2 linked regions of the Tamandua tetradactyla genome follow. The protein of the gene in region 1 purifies or fractionates together with the protein of each later gene. This does not show direct contact. Links are inferred from orthologs where the notes say so. Each region holds a gene or a part of one and is shown on either strand. Other genes may lie near its edges.

Evidence for each region. Proteins that work in one complex are often made in the same cells at the same time.
Region 2: the proteins of LUZP1 (region 1) and DAPK3 purify together in Homo sapiens (affinity purification with mass spectrometry; 3 studies listed by BioGRID and IntAct, with this or other methods). This does not show direct contact. The link is inferred for Tamandua tetradactyla from reciprocal best matches to the Homo sapiens genes LUZP1 and DAPK3.

What each region holds. Positions count from the first base shown.
Region 1 is NC_135328.1:203,115,535-203,123,507, forward strand, and holds the start of LUZP1 (leucine zipper protein 1), read left to right. Parts: upstream 1-4,707; 5' UTR 4,708-4,803; intron 4,804-5,442; exon of another isoform or gene 5,443-5,485; intron 5,486-7,973.
Region 2 is NC_135337.1:78,076,665-78,083,917, reverse strand, and holds the start of DAPK3 (death-associated protein kinase 3), read right to left. Parts: upstream 3,055-7,253; 5' UTR 3,009-3,054; exon of another isoform or gene 2,951-3,008; intron 1,975-2,950; 5' UTR 1,927-1,974; coding exon 1,814-1,926; exon of another isoform or gene 1-1,813. UniProt on the Homo sapiens protein: Serine/threonine kinase which is involved in the regulation of apoptosis, autophagy, transcription, translation and actin cytoskeleton reorganization. Involved in the regulation of smooth muscle contraction.

The sequences.
Region 1 (7,973 bases):
GCCTCTGGAGGTCTGTGAACCCCTTGAAATTGTGTGTAATGTATGTCCATTTTTCTTGATCCCAAAAGGTATCAGTGACCCAAAAAGTGTTAAGAACCACTGCTTAACAAGGCCCCCGAATTTCTCTACAAGTCTTCTACTGGCACTTGGGTTTTATGAAGGTTTGTGATTCCTACATAGTCTTGAGAATATTCTACAAGGCCCTGCTGTTACTGTATAGGGACTTGGGGCCTCTACACCCAGAATTTTTCTACTGGATCTTGAGAATCTTTGTATAGGTTTCTAGGGTCTGTTTGGGGGATTTGAGGTTTCCTTGAAGCCCTGGTGTCTCTTTCTGAGATTCTGAGAACCACTGTCAGGTCCTGTGATCCTTGCATGAATTCTAAACCCAGGTCTCAGGATGCCTCTGAACCCTCTGAAATAGGCAGTGAGATTTTTGGCTTCTATCTATAAATGTGTAATTCTAAGGAGAGGTTTTGCAGATTACATCAGATTCTCAAAGGGATTCATGAGTCCCCCAAAGCTGGGAAAAACACTGCTTTAGAGTATCCAGTATTGGACAGACCTTGCTTCTGTCTCACTAACTAGAGCCAAGAAAGAATAAGGTAGAGGAGATAAAAGGCAGTTTGCTCCATTAGATAGAGTTTTGGAGGCAGGCATTCCTGGGTTAAAATCCCAGTTTTTCCGCTTACCAGAGGAGTGACCTTGAAGGGTTCCTTAACTTCTCTAAGCCTCAAGGCCACCTCCTCTAGGAAGCCTTCTCTGCCTCCTGGATTTGATTAGATTCCACCAAGCCCTCAAAGTATCTGGGCTACTCTTTTGTAGCACTTAATGTAATTGTTATTAAGTAATTAATTGTGTTCCATGTTAGGCAGTGAGTCACTTTTCATGAAGTAAAGAGGGAAAGAATGGAGGGATGTCTGCCAGGCACTGCACTAGGGGCAGAAGGGGATCGGAGATGAATAAGGAGGCGATCCCAAGCTAATGGGGGGAATAAGATGAATTCCCACAGGGAAGATGTCCTAAGTGCTCTCATGGGGAAAAACAGTAACAGGCAATGCACCAAGTGAGCCAATGATTCAAAGAACTGATATGATGCCCTCCCCTTGTATTATGTCTTATAGCTAAGAAAGTACTTAACTTGTGTAAAATATCCTGGTATACCCTTACCAGGCAGGAGTGGGGTCCGGAGAGAGGAACTGCTGCTGCGAGTCATTTAGTGGCTTGTCCAAGTCCACCCAGCTAATGATGGCTACTTGAGTGCAGAGTCTTGGTTTCCTAATCTGCAAAATAGGAATAATGACTTCCTATAACCTGTATAAAATATTATTTGTTAAGTACACAGCATCATGCTTGATTTCTAGTAAGGATTCATAAATGCTTGTTGAAGGAATGAATGGATGAAATTCATGTATTGATGGTGCCCTAAAATGTGAGAGGACTCAAAATCATGCCATGACTTCCTTGAGACTTGGCACTGGCCTCAGTCATATTGTGTTATAGTTTATTGTTTACAAAGTAACAGAAATGAATCAACTCCAGCTTGGTTAGCTTTCTTTTTGACATATGACTTTACTGCCTTTTTTCTGATGACAAAGTAATATGTGCACCTTGTAAAAAAATTTAATTGCAGAAAGATATAATGAGGAAAAACGAAAGTGCGAGTTTTAGCACAGTAGGCATAAGATGCTGACTTATTGCTATTCTTTGGGAAGTGGAGGAAGGGCATAGGACAGAGGGCAAAAAAATTTTCCTGCTTTAATATCTCCCCTACTGGCCCTGCCTGAACGTTCTTTTAGCAGTCTTGCTTTTGGCTTAGAGCGTTGAAAGTTTCAAGTGCAACCAGGGACTCAGGTTGGAGGAGAAGATGAGAACTGGCTGGACAGGAGCTTTCCCTGGAACCCCTTAAGAAATGGAATGGGATCTGCAGAACATTCTATGGCATCAGGCACAGTAGGCTCAGATGCCCACTGCTGATGTGCCTTGTAGTTGTATCTATTTCCTTTCCTCTCTTCGGCATTTAGTAAGATCTTTTTTTCTAATATTTTATTGTAAACAACAAACAAATACACGTTCTTTTTTTTGCATATTCATCATCACGATCATTTCTTAGATTATTTGCATCAATTCAGAAAAATAAATAAAAAGACAACAGAAAAATAAAATGAAACGTAAGATCTTTTTTGAAAGTTCCTGCTACACATGTGCGTGTACACACACGCAGACAGAAAAATGATTGAAAGTCCCGTTTTTCATTTTTTATATTCTCCATATTTTTCTCTGCATATTCTAAGCTGTAAACATGGGATCCTATCACACCTGCAATTCTGCAACTTACTTTTACTTCTTTCACTTAGCAATATTCAGGGGACCTGTTTTCTTGCCTATTCCTGCAAAATACCCTATGCTTTTTTTTTTGACTAAGCTTCTCGAGAGTGGGAACTGTTATTTAGCCCTACTTCCAGCCCAGAGGCCTACACATCCTTTAACTGTAGCCACAACATCCTCGCATGAACTAGGTGCCAGGCTCTGAGCTAAGCTCTTTCATGTATTTATTTCATTGAATCTTTACTACCACTCTCTGAAGTAGGTACTATTATATTCCCATTTTGCAGATGAGAAACTGAGGTGAAGAATTTAAAAGCCCAAGGTCAAACAGCTGGGGAAGGGTGGAGCTGGAATTTGAATCCTCAGCTGTGATGTGTCAAAGTCTGTGTTGGGAATGGATGAATAGAAAGTTGAGGGGGCCACGGGTTCCTGGTGAAAAAATTCTGTCTTCAGAACCTCCCTTGTATACATTGGGTTCTCCCTTCTAAGGATTTGCAGTGCTTGGAATTTGTATCAGCACATAGGATGAATTCAATAAAGGCCTGCAGAAATTCTGTGGCCATGCCTCCTTTTCATGGGAAGTAGCATTTTAAAATCTCCTATTCTAAAAATACGCCACACATTGTTAGGGACCCTTGACCATCAGCCCAAGCATTTTAGGATAGCCATTTGCCTGTCTGCAGTGTAAGAAATTAATCAGAACCCCAAAGCTCTTCCTCTCTTCCCACTGGCCAATACTCTCACTCCTAAGGCCTTGCTGCAGCTCTCCTCGAGGACTGCAGAGATGCCAAGGGCAGTTTAGCACAGAACCATCTCTCTGTAAGGAAAACGAAAGGAGAAAGGCCCAAGGGAGAAGCATGTCAGCTCAGCTGCAAAGCACTTGCAGAGAAAGCTCTGCAGCTGTCATCAACTTGAAAGTGGGGGACGGGGCCCTAGGGTCAGAGACAGCCCGGGGTATCAGACTGGTCATGATTGTGCTGAATCCACACAGGTTCTGAAATTTTGACTGCTAGTTCCCCTTTGAATGGCAATGTTCTGTGGAGCTACTAGCCTTTTTTCTCTCTCAGGACCCCAAAGTCTTCCTTTGTAGAATGATTGGGTGGATTATCGTGGGGGTGTTGTGTGGTGCTAGGCGCTAGAAATAATATTGATAATGATGATAATAATAATATGACAACCACATCATTTGTGGGACACTGTGCTTGCTGCTTTCCACACAGTAGATTATGTAAATTAAAAACAAACCCTAAAATGACCATATTATTATATCCTATTTATGGATGAGGAGACTGAAGCTCAGAGAGACCTAGAAGGGGCCAGAATGTGGGTATTTGATCAGAGGTTTGTTTGGCAACAGAACCTGAGCTCCATAAAACCCTGTGGGTTCTGACCTGGAGGAAGTGCTAAGAAACAAGTTGGTCAGTTCGATACACGTTAGAATGTGACCATGCCTCATGAGAGTTAAACACAATGGAAGGGAAACTAGGAGGGGTGGCACATTGAGATGAGACAGCAAAGGAAGAGCATGAGCAAAGGGGCAGATGTGGGAAAGCAGTGGGTGTGCCAGGGGGAAGTCTGGATAAACTTTACAGTGTGTGTGTGTGTGTGTGTGTGTGTTTGTGTGTGTCTTTCTGGAAAGGTAGGAAGTGATCAGGCCAGGCCAGGACTTTGGCCTTTATGCCATAGGCAAAAAGTAGCTTACACAAGAGATGTCTCAAGAGGCCAGCTATGCTGCTGCAGTCAGAGAGAGAGCAGCCTTTGGTGTATCTGTGTCCCGGCTTGTGAATGCTGCTCCCTGCCAGAGCGTGGGAGGGCAGCCGTATGGGAGAGTATCTCTGGCTGTGTCCTGCACCCTTCTGGGTGTGGGTCTTGGCCTCCCTTCAAAACCCTGCCCACTTCTCTGGGCTCTGGGTACCTTGGAGGGATTTTTAAGATCATGTGGTCATCACTCCTTCCCGTTTTAAAGAAGCTGAAAGCCGGGAATATGAATGGGAAGGGACTTGTCTAGGAGAACACAATGAATTAACTGCAGAACTGGAGACTGGAATTCATACCTTCTGAGTCCAACCTGATTTCCTTTTCCACATTTGCCCAATAACACAAATGGGATTTGTTGAGTGATTACTTATTAAGGGTCCTGGACTAAGCGCCTTTTACATAAATTATCTCATTTAATCTAACAACCCCCTGTGAGAGCACCCCTCTCACTTCCCACCGCGCCTAGCACAGGTCTTGGGTACCTAGCTTGGCAGGCAAAATAACTTGGCAGTGTTCAAGGCCTGGGAAGGGGTAAAGGACGGAGAGGGCGGGACCTTCCGGAAGGTCCCTCCCTTCGCCTCAGGCCCCGCCCCGACGATGACGCCACCAGTCGGCCCGCCCCTCATTGTCAGTCCCCTGGAGTCGGAGGAGGCGCCGGCAGCCGGGAGTCCAGAGCCGAGCTTTCGGCCGGCGGGAGCACGGGCCAGAGTCACCAAGGTGAGGGATCTGCCGGGAGGCGACAGGACTACTCTCCGCTCGCGGCCCCAGGGCGGGAGCGGGGAAGGAGCTCGGCACTGGCGGCTGGGGTGTGCCGGGGCAGAGGAGGGCAGCCGGAGGGGTCGGGACACCGGCAGCCGAACTGGCGGGCGAGCCAGAGGGGAGGTGGGGGGGGTGGGGATCCAGGTTGCCTCCGGGTGCGCGTATGTGTGTGTGTGTGTGAAGAGTTTGAGCGGATTTTGGAGGAAGCGATCGGGGGAGAGACCCTGACGGGAGATCTTTTGGGGCGAGACCTTGAGATTTTCTTGGAGTTGGAGGAAGAGAATTTGAGGAGATTTTTCTTTCGGTTGGGGGAGGGACGGTTCTGAGGTGACTTCTTGGTGGGAGAGAGAATCTGGAGAGGGATGTTGGGGGTGGGCAGAAAAGCAGAGGAGACATTTTCGGGGGACGAGGCTCGGAGAAGACTTTTTGGAGTCGAGTCTGGGGTGCGGTGGGAGGGCGTGCGGAGTGCGGGCGAACGCGGCGCGGCGCTGGGCGAGCAGGCGGGCGCGGGCCGGGCGGGGCGGGGGGCCTGGGCGCCGGGGGAGGGGGCTGCGCGGGGCCAGGCGGGCACCCGGGGAGGAAGGAAGTGATCATACAGGAAGAGCCGGGAGCTCCCGAGGAGGAGGAGGAGGAGGAGAAGGTGGGGGTTTGGGAGCGCGCCGGGTCGGCGTGCTGCACCGGCCTGCGGACGGCGGACTGCGGGCGCCCGACGGCGGACTGCGGGCGCCGGGCTGCGGGGCTGCGGGGCTGCGGGGGCGGCGCGGGTCGGGGAGGGGTCCCGCCGCCGCCGCAGCTGTCGGCCGCGCGGATCCGTGTCCCGGGCGCTGCTGGTCTTGCAGCCAGACCGCTGGGCCGGGAAGGAATTCGAGGCATTCGCTTTGTTTAAGTTGCCAGTAGACAGTCCTTAGGACTAATTAATGGTGGAATCTGCAGGGGACGCGGGCGAGTCGGGCCGGGGGCCGCCCCCCGCCTGCCGGCCGCGGTGAACTTTCCGCAGCGCGCTCGGCCCGCCTCTCTGCGTACCCCAAGCCCCCCTCGTTCCCCCCCCCCCCCATCTCGGCCCCGGCGGGGAAGAGCCATGACTTCCTCAAGAGCAGGAATGAAGCGCGGTTTTTGGGGCCGGTGGGCCTCTGGCTGTGAGGGGGACCGGGCGTCGGGAGCGGCTGTGTTGGGGGTTCGGAGTCCGGTTTAGGGCTCCCCGAGGTACCTGTGGTTTCTGTTAATAACCTTGGAGGAGGCTCTGCAAGCCGAGAAAGACCATCTTGCTTTGGAGCATCTGTTTCGGCATCGCGTCAGCCCCTTTCCTAACACTGCAGAGCTTGTTGTGGCTTGTTTCGGAAATGCCGAGGCCTGTGCTCATACTTGAGGGTGGGAGGGGGAGAGAATAGGCATCCCCGAAAGAACCTGCAGTGTGATCTCCGCTAGGCCGGAGACTGCTTGCAGATTCTCCGTCGCACCTTCACTGACTTGAATGACCTTGGGGAAAGGATTGTGCTTCTGAACTGGTGTCTTATCTGTCCACTGAAGAGAAAATACTCCTTTGACTTCCCTGCCTTTTGGGGATATTTTGAGGGGTGGGGTTTGTTCAAGGTATTTCTTTTATGAACTGCTGCTGCTGTGGCTTGAGGAGCTGGACTTGTCACAGCCTGGAGAGTTCAGATTACCCTGAAAGATTCTACTACCTCAGGGAGGGTTTTGGATTTTAGGAGGATATTTCCTTTGGGAGAATCCATACAGAACATTTCTTGATTACTTTCCATCACTGTGTGCAGCATTGGTGGTATTGGAGTGGATAAATTGAATAGCCCTCATAGAAAATTCTTGTCAAAAATAACTATTTTGCTTAGAATTCCCCATGGGGCAGATTAAGGATTTGCTCAATTTACTCAGAAGAATTTTTCAGGTTTCTAAAATTAAATCATTTTTCTAAACATAGTAACTAAAGTTAAAAAGAAAAACTGGAAATAGTGGGATGAGAAGGGAGGGATTTGGAGTACGGAGAAGGCAGCAAATACAGGTTGGTTGCTGACTCGCTATTGATAAAATAACTTAGATTATGAGTTAGTTTTTCTTGATTATTAGATAATTTCTTAAATTATTTAAGACCAAGAAAGGGAACTAATATTATTGAGTTGTTATTGCCCACTAACTGCGCTAGGTGGTTTATATTTCATTTGTTCTTCTCAACAATGCTATGAGGTGGTAGTTGACTTCCTTATTTTGCAGATGTGCAAATTAAGGATCAGAATGGAAAAGTGACTACCAAGATCACACCTACAGCTAATAAGAGGTAGAGCTAGAATTCAAACCCAAGTCCCGGTTTATAAGATCCGTAGTTAATTCTGCTACGCATGTTCCCTCGGGAAACATGCGAAAGCCTTTGAAATAGCCACTGATATGCTGTGAACTCTGGAATAAGTAAATTAAGCTTGTTCTCCAAAAATATTACCTTCTTACTTGCAGCAATGCCAGTATGCTGCTGGGATGCTCCAGTTTTTTGATAGAAAGACAAATGTATAAGGCTGTGATAGTGGTTTGTCCTGTATGCAGTTGGCCCTTAATAGCTTTTAGCTTATGATGGAAGAATTGGTATTGAAATATAGAGTACCTGAGTGATCACAGATTTTATTTATGGATAGCTAATGATCCTTACACTGTAAGAGGTTGTTGTTGTTTCACATTGATGTGAAACTGAACCATTGTCATGTACCATGCATTTTGCGGCTGTTGACTTAGAGCAAAGCACACTGCAAGTTGAACCCATATAGTCCAAGGTGAAAGATTTGACTTTGATGCATGTAATAGTAAATATTTGCTGAATGAGTAAATATTTGCTGAATGAGTAAATGCATGAATTCCTTCTTTTGGTTCATTTTAAAAATTGTGGTAAAATATATGTGACATAGAAATCATTTTAACCACGTTTTAAAGTGTACAATTTCTGTGACATTAAGTACATTGACAGTGCTGTGTTACTTTAACCATTGTCTATTTCCAGGATATTTTCATCATCCCAGACAGATGCTCATACTCATTAACCAATTCCCTCATAGCCTCCTCCCTCCTACCCCTGGTAACCACTATTCTGCCTTTTGTCTCTATGAAATTGGTAAATATTTTCTAAATTT
Region 2 (7,253 bases), on another chromosome or scaffold:
TCTGTAATGCAAAAAGCAGCTGACATGTAGTCCAGTGAGCGTGACTCTGTTCTGACACAATGTTAATTATTAACTACAACTGTGAACCCTGAGGCATGAACAGGTCATCGTTTTCACATGTCATGGAACTTAATTCTTCTAACTATTTTTTTCCCAGCCATCTAAAAAATGTACAACCACGGACTGTACAAAATAAGTGTCAGGGAGGGGAAGAAAAGGAAAAAAACAAAACAAAACCCAATGTCAAGTTGGATTTGTCAACCCCTGAGTAACTAGATCAATAAACTGAAGGAAAAGGCGCACTTGAACTTGGATTAAAAAAAAAAAATCAGAAAAGATACAGATGATGAAAATACAACTCTGTGATTACATTGTCTTTAACCTTATGCTTCAGGTACCTCACAGAATGTTCCAGAACATTACATACAGCTGTGCTGTCCAAATTGGCAGCCACTAGCCATATGCCCTCAAAATGTGGCTGGGCTGAACTGAGCTGTATAAGTGAATGCAAACAATACACTAGCTGTCAAAGGCTTCAGACCTAAATAAATACATAAATAAAAGCAAAATATTGAGGCATTTTAAAATACAGATTACGTGTCAAAATGATAATCATTAGGATCTATAAAGTTTAATAGCCTATTATTAAAATTCATTTCTCCTGTATCTTTTTTATTTTTTAATGCTCCTAGAAAATTTAAATACTTTAGATATGCGACTCATGTTATATTTTTATTTGGGCAGCGCTAGATCTTTGCCTGCTTTCTTCTAACTGCATAATTGCCTAATATTCCTGTCAATGGATGTCACAGGTTTTGGGCAGCCAGGAAAGTAGTTTTCCACCCCTTGCTTATCTGCCATTACTATAGTAACTGACCCTGTTCTTAAATAGCCGGGTCTATACATGTGTTTCCACTGAATTAATTCCTACAAGTGGAACTGGTGAGTCAAAAGGAAAGCACCATTTAAATCTTGTTGCCTTTTGCCAAACTTTCCTCCAGTGGGAGACTCTAAGAGGCGTTCAACAATGAAGGATATGATTTCTCCAGGGGGTGGAGGTGGGGGGGGTGCTTACTCTACCATTCTAAGGGAAGAATTTCTAAAGGAAGGAATTAAGGATTCCAAATGAGTCTGGAAACTCTGTCTAGGCTGGGCACAACACATGGTATGCTTATTTACATTCCCATTAGGTGACATCATGGGGCTGCCAAGGCGGCTCCAGGAAGGCTGGCCAGCAGCAAACTCACCAAATAAGGTTTGAAGGGCCACAAATCAGGGTGGGCCTAGAAAGTGACTGGCTACCCTGCAGTGTGTGTTTAGGGGGTGGGGAGGGGGGGGGGGTCCTCAAAGGGACCTTGAAAACCCAGCCAGGCAGGAAATCAGCTGCCTCACTGGAATGGGAAACCTCAGCTTTTCCCACAAGAATGTAAAACAATTGGCAGGGACACGGGCCAGACAAGAGGCCTTCCTTTTAAATGTGCAGAAGCTCGAAGAAATTCTCCAACGGCTCATCTCATACAAAAGAGAGTTAAAAGAGGGGGACTGGCCTCTAATAAAATTACTAGCACCTATTGTTCTCATCTCCTGTGCCAGGCACCATATTTATTCGAATGATTCCATTTTGCCACCAAGGAAATGCAGAGGGAATGTCAGAGCGAAAATTCCAGCCAGGGCTGGCTAACACTGAAGACCAAACCCATTCTACCAACACATGCCGCTGTCTCATTTCTGCTTGAAGAGGAAGTTCCCATTCAGAAAAATCCTGCAGCCCCCCTTTCCTCCCAGCAAAGCCCAGTCAGAGGAGATGGCTCACCTGCCCAGTTCCTCCCCCATCTCATAGTATTCCTCCACATCTTCCTGCCTGAACGTTGACATGGTAGCCAATCTGCCTTCCAGAAACTTCTGCTCCAGTGGAAGTCCAGTCATTCACTGAAGTCTGGGAACAGGGCCTCAGGGAGACCGTTCACCATGAGCCTGAAGGAAACAAGGAAGGCAGGAGCTCAGCCACCAGGTATTTCTCCTATAAAAGCAGAATGACCCGTTCACTGAAAGTAAGTTTCATATCACTTCCCCAAAAGCATTTAGCCGGCTGGACACTTTCATGTGTCCTCTTGTGTGGAGGCCGGAAGCACCCAGAAAGATTGGCGTTACCTCACTGTAACACCTTCACCCCATCCCCAGGCCTCCCACCAAGCACAGAGGACCCCACAGCTGCCCCACACAGAGCCCCAAGCTTTCTCTGCCTCCCCCTCCTTGACTTCTCCGGACCTGCTCTTCCAGAGTCCTCAACACATTCCAGCAAGTTCCCCCACACCCCAGGGGCTGCCAAACTTCCCAAGGTAGTTCTAAACCAACAGACCCCCATCTGCTTCGTCATCAGCTGACCCCATGCACCTGGACGGGTCTCTGAAGTCCCTCCTCGGCGGTCGCCATGCCCCCGCCTCTTCCGCTCCCCAAACCTGAATTCCCCAGGAGCTGGGACACCGCCTTCCAGATTCCTGCGAGCCCCCTCGGCCCTCTTGCGTCCTCCACTGTCCTAGGGAGACTAACCTCTTCCTCGTCCTCCCTCCTAAACGTCCCCCAATTCGGTCTCCCCCAGACCCAAACGAGCCCCCTTGGGGCTCCTCCACGCCACCCCCACGCCCGCGAAAAGGCTGCTGTTGAGTCTCCTCCACTGTCCTTCACCCCAAAGAGGCCCTTCGTGGACCCGAGTCTCCCCAACCCCTGACCTTCCTCCCCGAGGCCACCACGCCCCTCGCGGGCCCCGGACCGGCTCCTTCTCCGGCCCGAAACCCCCAGGGAGTCTCCAACGCGCCCTCCACAACCTCCCACCGTCCCCGTGTCCTCCAAGAGCGCTCGGCACGGCCGCGCCCCCACCTCGAGAACCCTCCCCAAGAGTCTCTGCCGCCCCCACCCAGCCTTCCGGCCTCGACACGATCCCGCTCCGCACCCTCCGCGGCCCTCCGCGGCCCTGAACCCCAGGCCGGTCCTGCCGCCGCCGCGCCCACCGCCACCGCCTTAGTCCCCCGCCGTCGAGACTGCCGCGACGTGCCGACCTGCGTGACGTCACCGCGTCCACTAGTGCCCGCCTTCCGAGATGCGAATCCCACCGCCCATTGGTCGGCGCGCCGCGCTGTCATCTCGGTGCCCCGCCCTCCACCATCTGATGTCCTGCCCCCCTCCCGAATGCGGCCTCGCCATTGGCCGACGGGCTGACCTGCCCACAATTGATTGGCTGAAAGGAACGTTGGTCAAGCTGACGGAAGGAAGGCCAACTTCCGAGCCCGGGACCTCTCCTCCTCTGACCCGGTCCTGAAGCGTGGGGGCCGGATGCTAGAGTTCAGCATCCCACTTCCTTCTTTTCTTGAGTAACTTATGACTCCTATTGGTCTCAAGATAAATAACAATAGCTAGCATTTCCTGAGCATTAGAAGGTACCAGAACCATAACCCTAGGAGGTTAATATTTTCCCCGATCTACTAACGAGGGAACAGACCCAGGGAGGTTAACCAGCCCAAAGTCACGCAACCAGTAAATGGCATAGCCGAGATTCATCCCCAGAGAGCCAAAGCTGATGCCGACCCACGTCCGAGGCCACTGGGCATAAGACCCTGCGCCCTTTGGTCTCTGCCGACAGCCTTAGCCTCATCCCCTACCAATCTCCCCTTTTTTCAATCCACTCCAACCCCACTTTCCTTCCTTCTGACTTGGAACATATAGTTGGCTCCTCCACGTCTCTGCACGAGATGTTTCTTCTGGCTGGAATTCGCTTTCTTCCGCACTTCTTCACTTTAAGTGATGCAATTCTTTTGACAACACGTGTTGCAAATACAGTAGTCCAGCATTTTAAGGTTTTAATGAGGTATCATTGACACAACATAATCTTATCTGTTTGAACTATGCATTTGGATTAGTGTTTTGTTTTTATAACCATCACATCTATTCCCACAACTTTTTCATCATCCCAAATAAAACCTCTGCACCATTAACAATAACTCATTTCCCCCTCCCTCCAGCTCCTGGCAACCAATAATCACATCCTACCTCTGTGAATTTGCCTATTTCCCCTATCTCATATAAAAGGAATCATACAATATCTGACTTTCTGAGTTTGGTTTACTTAGCTCAGCGTATTTTAAGAGTTCACCCATTTTGTTGGCTCTATCCGAACTTCAGTCCTTTTCACGGCTAAATACTATTCCATTGCATGGATATGCCACATCTTGTTTATCCATTCATCCACTGATATTTTAGATGTTCCCACTTTTTGGCTGTTATGATTAATGTTGCTATGAACCTTTGTGAACTAGTATGTTTAAGTCACTTTTCAATTATTTTGGGTCTATACCTTGGAGTGAAACTGCCAGGTAATTCTCTTAATTTTTTGAAAAATAGTATCTTTTCCAGTGGCTGCTTAGCTTTACATTACTACCCTCAGCCATGCATGAGTCTCCACATTCTTGCCAACACTTGCTATTCTTACTTTTTCTCCCCTCCCATTAACAGCCATCTACTAAGTGTGAAGTCCTATCTCACAGCAGGCTTGATTTGCATTTCCCTGATGTTGAGCACCCATTTAGGTGTTCATTATCCATTTGCCTATTTTTGGAGAAGTGTCTATTCAGATCCCTTGCCCTTATCAGATGTGATTGTTTCCCACTCTGCATGTTATCTTTTTACTTTCTTGATGTCCTTCAATGAATAAAGGATTTTTTAGTTTTTTTATGAATCCAGTTCAGCTATTTATTTTGGTATATTTATTTGTACATTTGATGGGAATCCCATGGGTCTTAGGCTGTTATTTTCCTTTTTTTTCAGCTACTAATTGGGTAAACTCAATAAACCCATTTCCAAGTTCACTGATTCTTCTGCCTGCTCAAATCTACTGAACCCTTCCCACTGAATTTCCATCTCAATTATAGGCTTGCATGCCAGAATTTCTATTTTATTAGATTTTATTATTTCCAAGTCTTTATCAATATGTTTGTTGACACCATTCTCCTGGTAGTTTAGTCCTAAGCATACTTTGCATTGTTTGTTTTTGAGCACAGGACATTTTGAATATTGTAATGTGGCAACTGGTTTACTTTTCTAAGCTCTCGTCAAGTCTGTATCCCTTGTTGCGTGTGGTCCCTAAAGTCTGTTCCATTAGCTTATAGAAGCTTAGTATTTTTTAAAACACCAAGCAAAGAAAAACATTCTCCCAGTCTTTATACATTGGCTGTATTGGGGCACCCCTTTCACGTTTAATCAGGCCATTTACACTACCTTAGCTTTCACCTCCTGCTCTCAAGGAGCCCGCACATCAGCCAGAGATTAAAGCTTGGGTCTTCCCAGGCCTTTGCTGAGCCAAGCACCCAGTCCTAGGCACACGTGTGACTGTCCCAATTCTCCAATGTACACAGGAGTTCCCAGCTCTAACTTACCCATTTCTCAATGTCTTCCTCCACAGAATTCTCCACCTATTGCTCTCCCTTGCCCCACGCCACTGCAGCTAATTCCATCACCTCTAAATGCTTTTAGCAAACGGTAACTGGGAATTACCACCGCTCTGGAAACACCCTAGGAGCTGTGAAACAAATACAAGCCCTTGTACTGGCCCTCAAGAGTGCCACGAGACAGTTCTTTTGAGGTCTGTACCTCAAAAGAAATCGCCAGAGCAAAAGAAATTGCTCCGGAAATAGCCAGGTGCACAAGGAGCGTGTGCTGCTGTCTTCACAGCCACCGCTGGTCTGGCACAACACAGCCACTTTAAGTTTTCCCCTGGCTGTTTTGATTCCAAAGTTCTGCAAAAACTGATCCTGACAGGTATTTACCAGCTTGTTATTAGTTTTTTTTTTTTTCTGGGGGGTTGGGGGGTAAGAGAGCTGGAGTTCTCTATTCTGCCATTTTCAGTTCCCTTTGTACGTTTTTTTTTTTTTTTTTTTTTTTTTAGGATGGGCAGGCACCAGGAATTGAACTCGAGTCTCTGGCATAGCAGGCAAGAAATCTGCCACTGAGCCGCCATCGTACCACCCCCTCTGTACTATTTTTAAAGGGGTATTTTACACGTTTTTTAAAAAGCATTAAAATAGTGGCTAAGTATATACAAATATTTGATACGAACAGAGCAGTGACAGCTGTCTAAATGTTGCTCTTGGAGTCCATTCTCCTTGTTAAAAAGACATAGCAAATTGACAATATTCAAGACTTTTCTGCCATTTCCTTCCAAGTCTTTGGCAGGACTGTGGTGGGAGGACTTCACAAGTCCACAAACCACATGAAAACCCTTGTGCACCTGCATACTAAGAACCAAGTACAACCCCTTCACTTTGCCCGACCCTTCTAGGTCATCCCGCACACTAGCTGGGGCTCAGTGCGGATTCATGATGCACCAAAGAGGCCAGGATGAAGAGCCTGAATAGTCACCAGCGGTCCTTCAGCACTGGAGAACCCTTGCCCATTGCCGGAGGTCAGCTGGCTATCCCAGCTAAGTTTTGAGAACAAAGGAGGGGCACCAGATTGGCAAATCAAGTAGATCTTGGTCAGTACTGGAAACAGACTCCTCCAGGAGAATCTCCTGGCATTTTATATGGGGGCTTTCTTTTAGTGACGCCTCTTCCAAAGCTAGTTCACAGACGCACAAATATATCACTATAATATATAATACTGCTTTGTAAGTTCAATTTCTACAAAATATTTTACTAATTACTATAAAAAATGATCAAACTTCTTGCCCCTCTGGCTGCCAGGAAGCTCACTGCCCATTACAAACCTAACTCAGCAACTAAAACCCAAATACACACACACTTCAAGGACTCATGTTCCCTTCTGCTCCAGCTACTTACATTTCTATAAATGTCTTTTGATACGTTAAGAAACAAATCTTCAGACAACTTTCCTGCAGTGGGCAAATGGGCAGTACAGGGCTATAGACTGGTCACCCCCTCCCAACTGGATGCCCCACTTCTGTGCTTCAGAACCCACTTGCCTCCTGGAGGACAGATCTGAAGGGATAAACTATATACATTATTTTAAAAAGCTTAGACTAAGGTCTGTCTGGTAAAATTCCATGTTTTAGTATCTTTGGCAATTCTACAAAGGAGTATTTGTTGACCTGTTTCTAGCACTAAATTAGCCTTGGGGTTGGCGTCCTGGCCCAGGCACCTTATAAATGAACCCCTAGTAGGCTACTCAGGACTGGGGTGAAGGGAAAGGACGTGATCAGAGTAACCTGGAGCACACCCTCCATCTGTCCTGCCCGAAATTGCTAT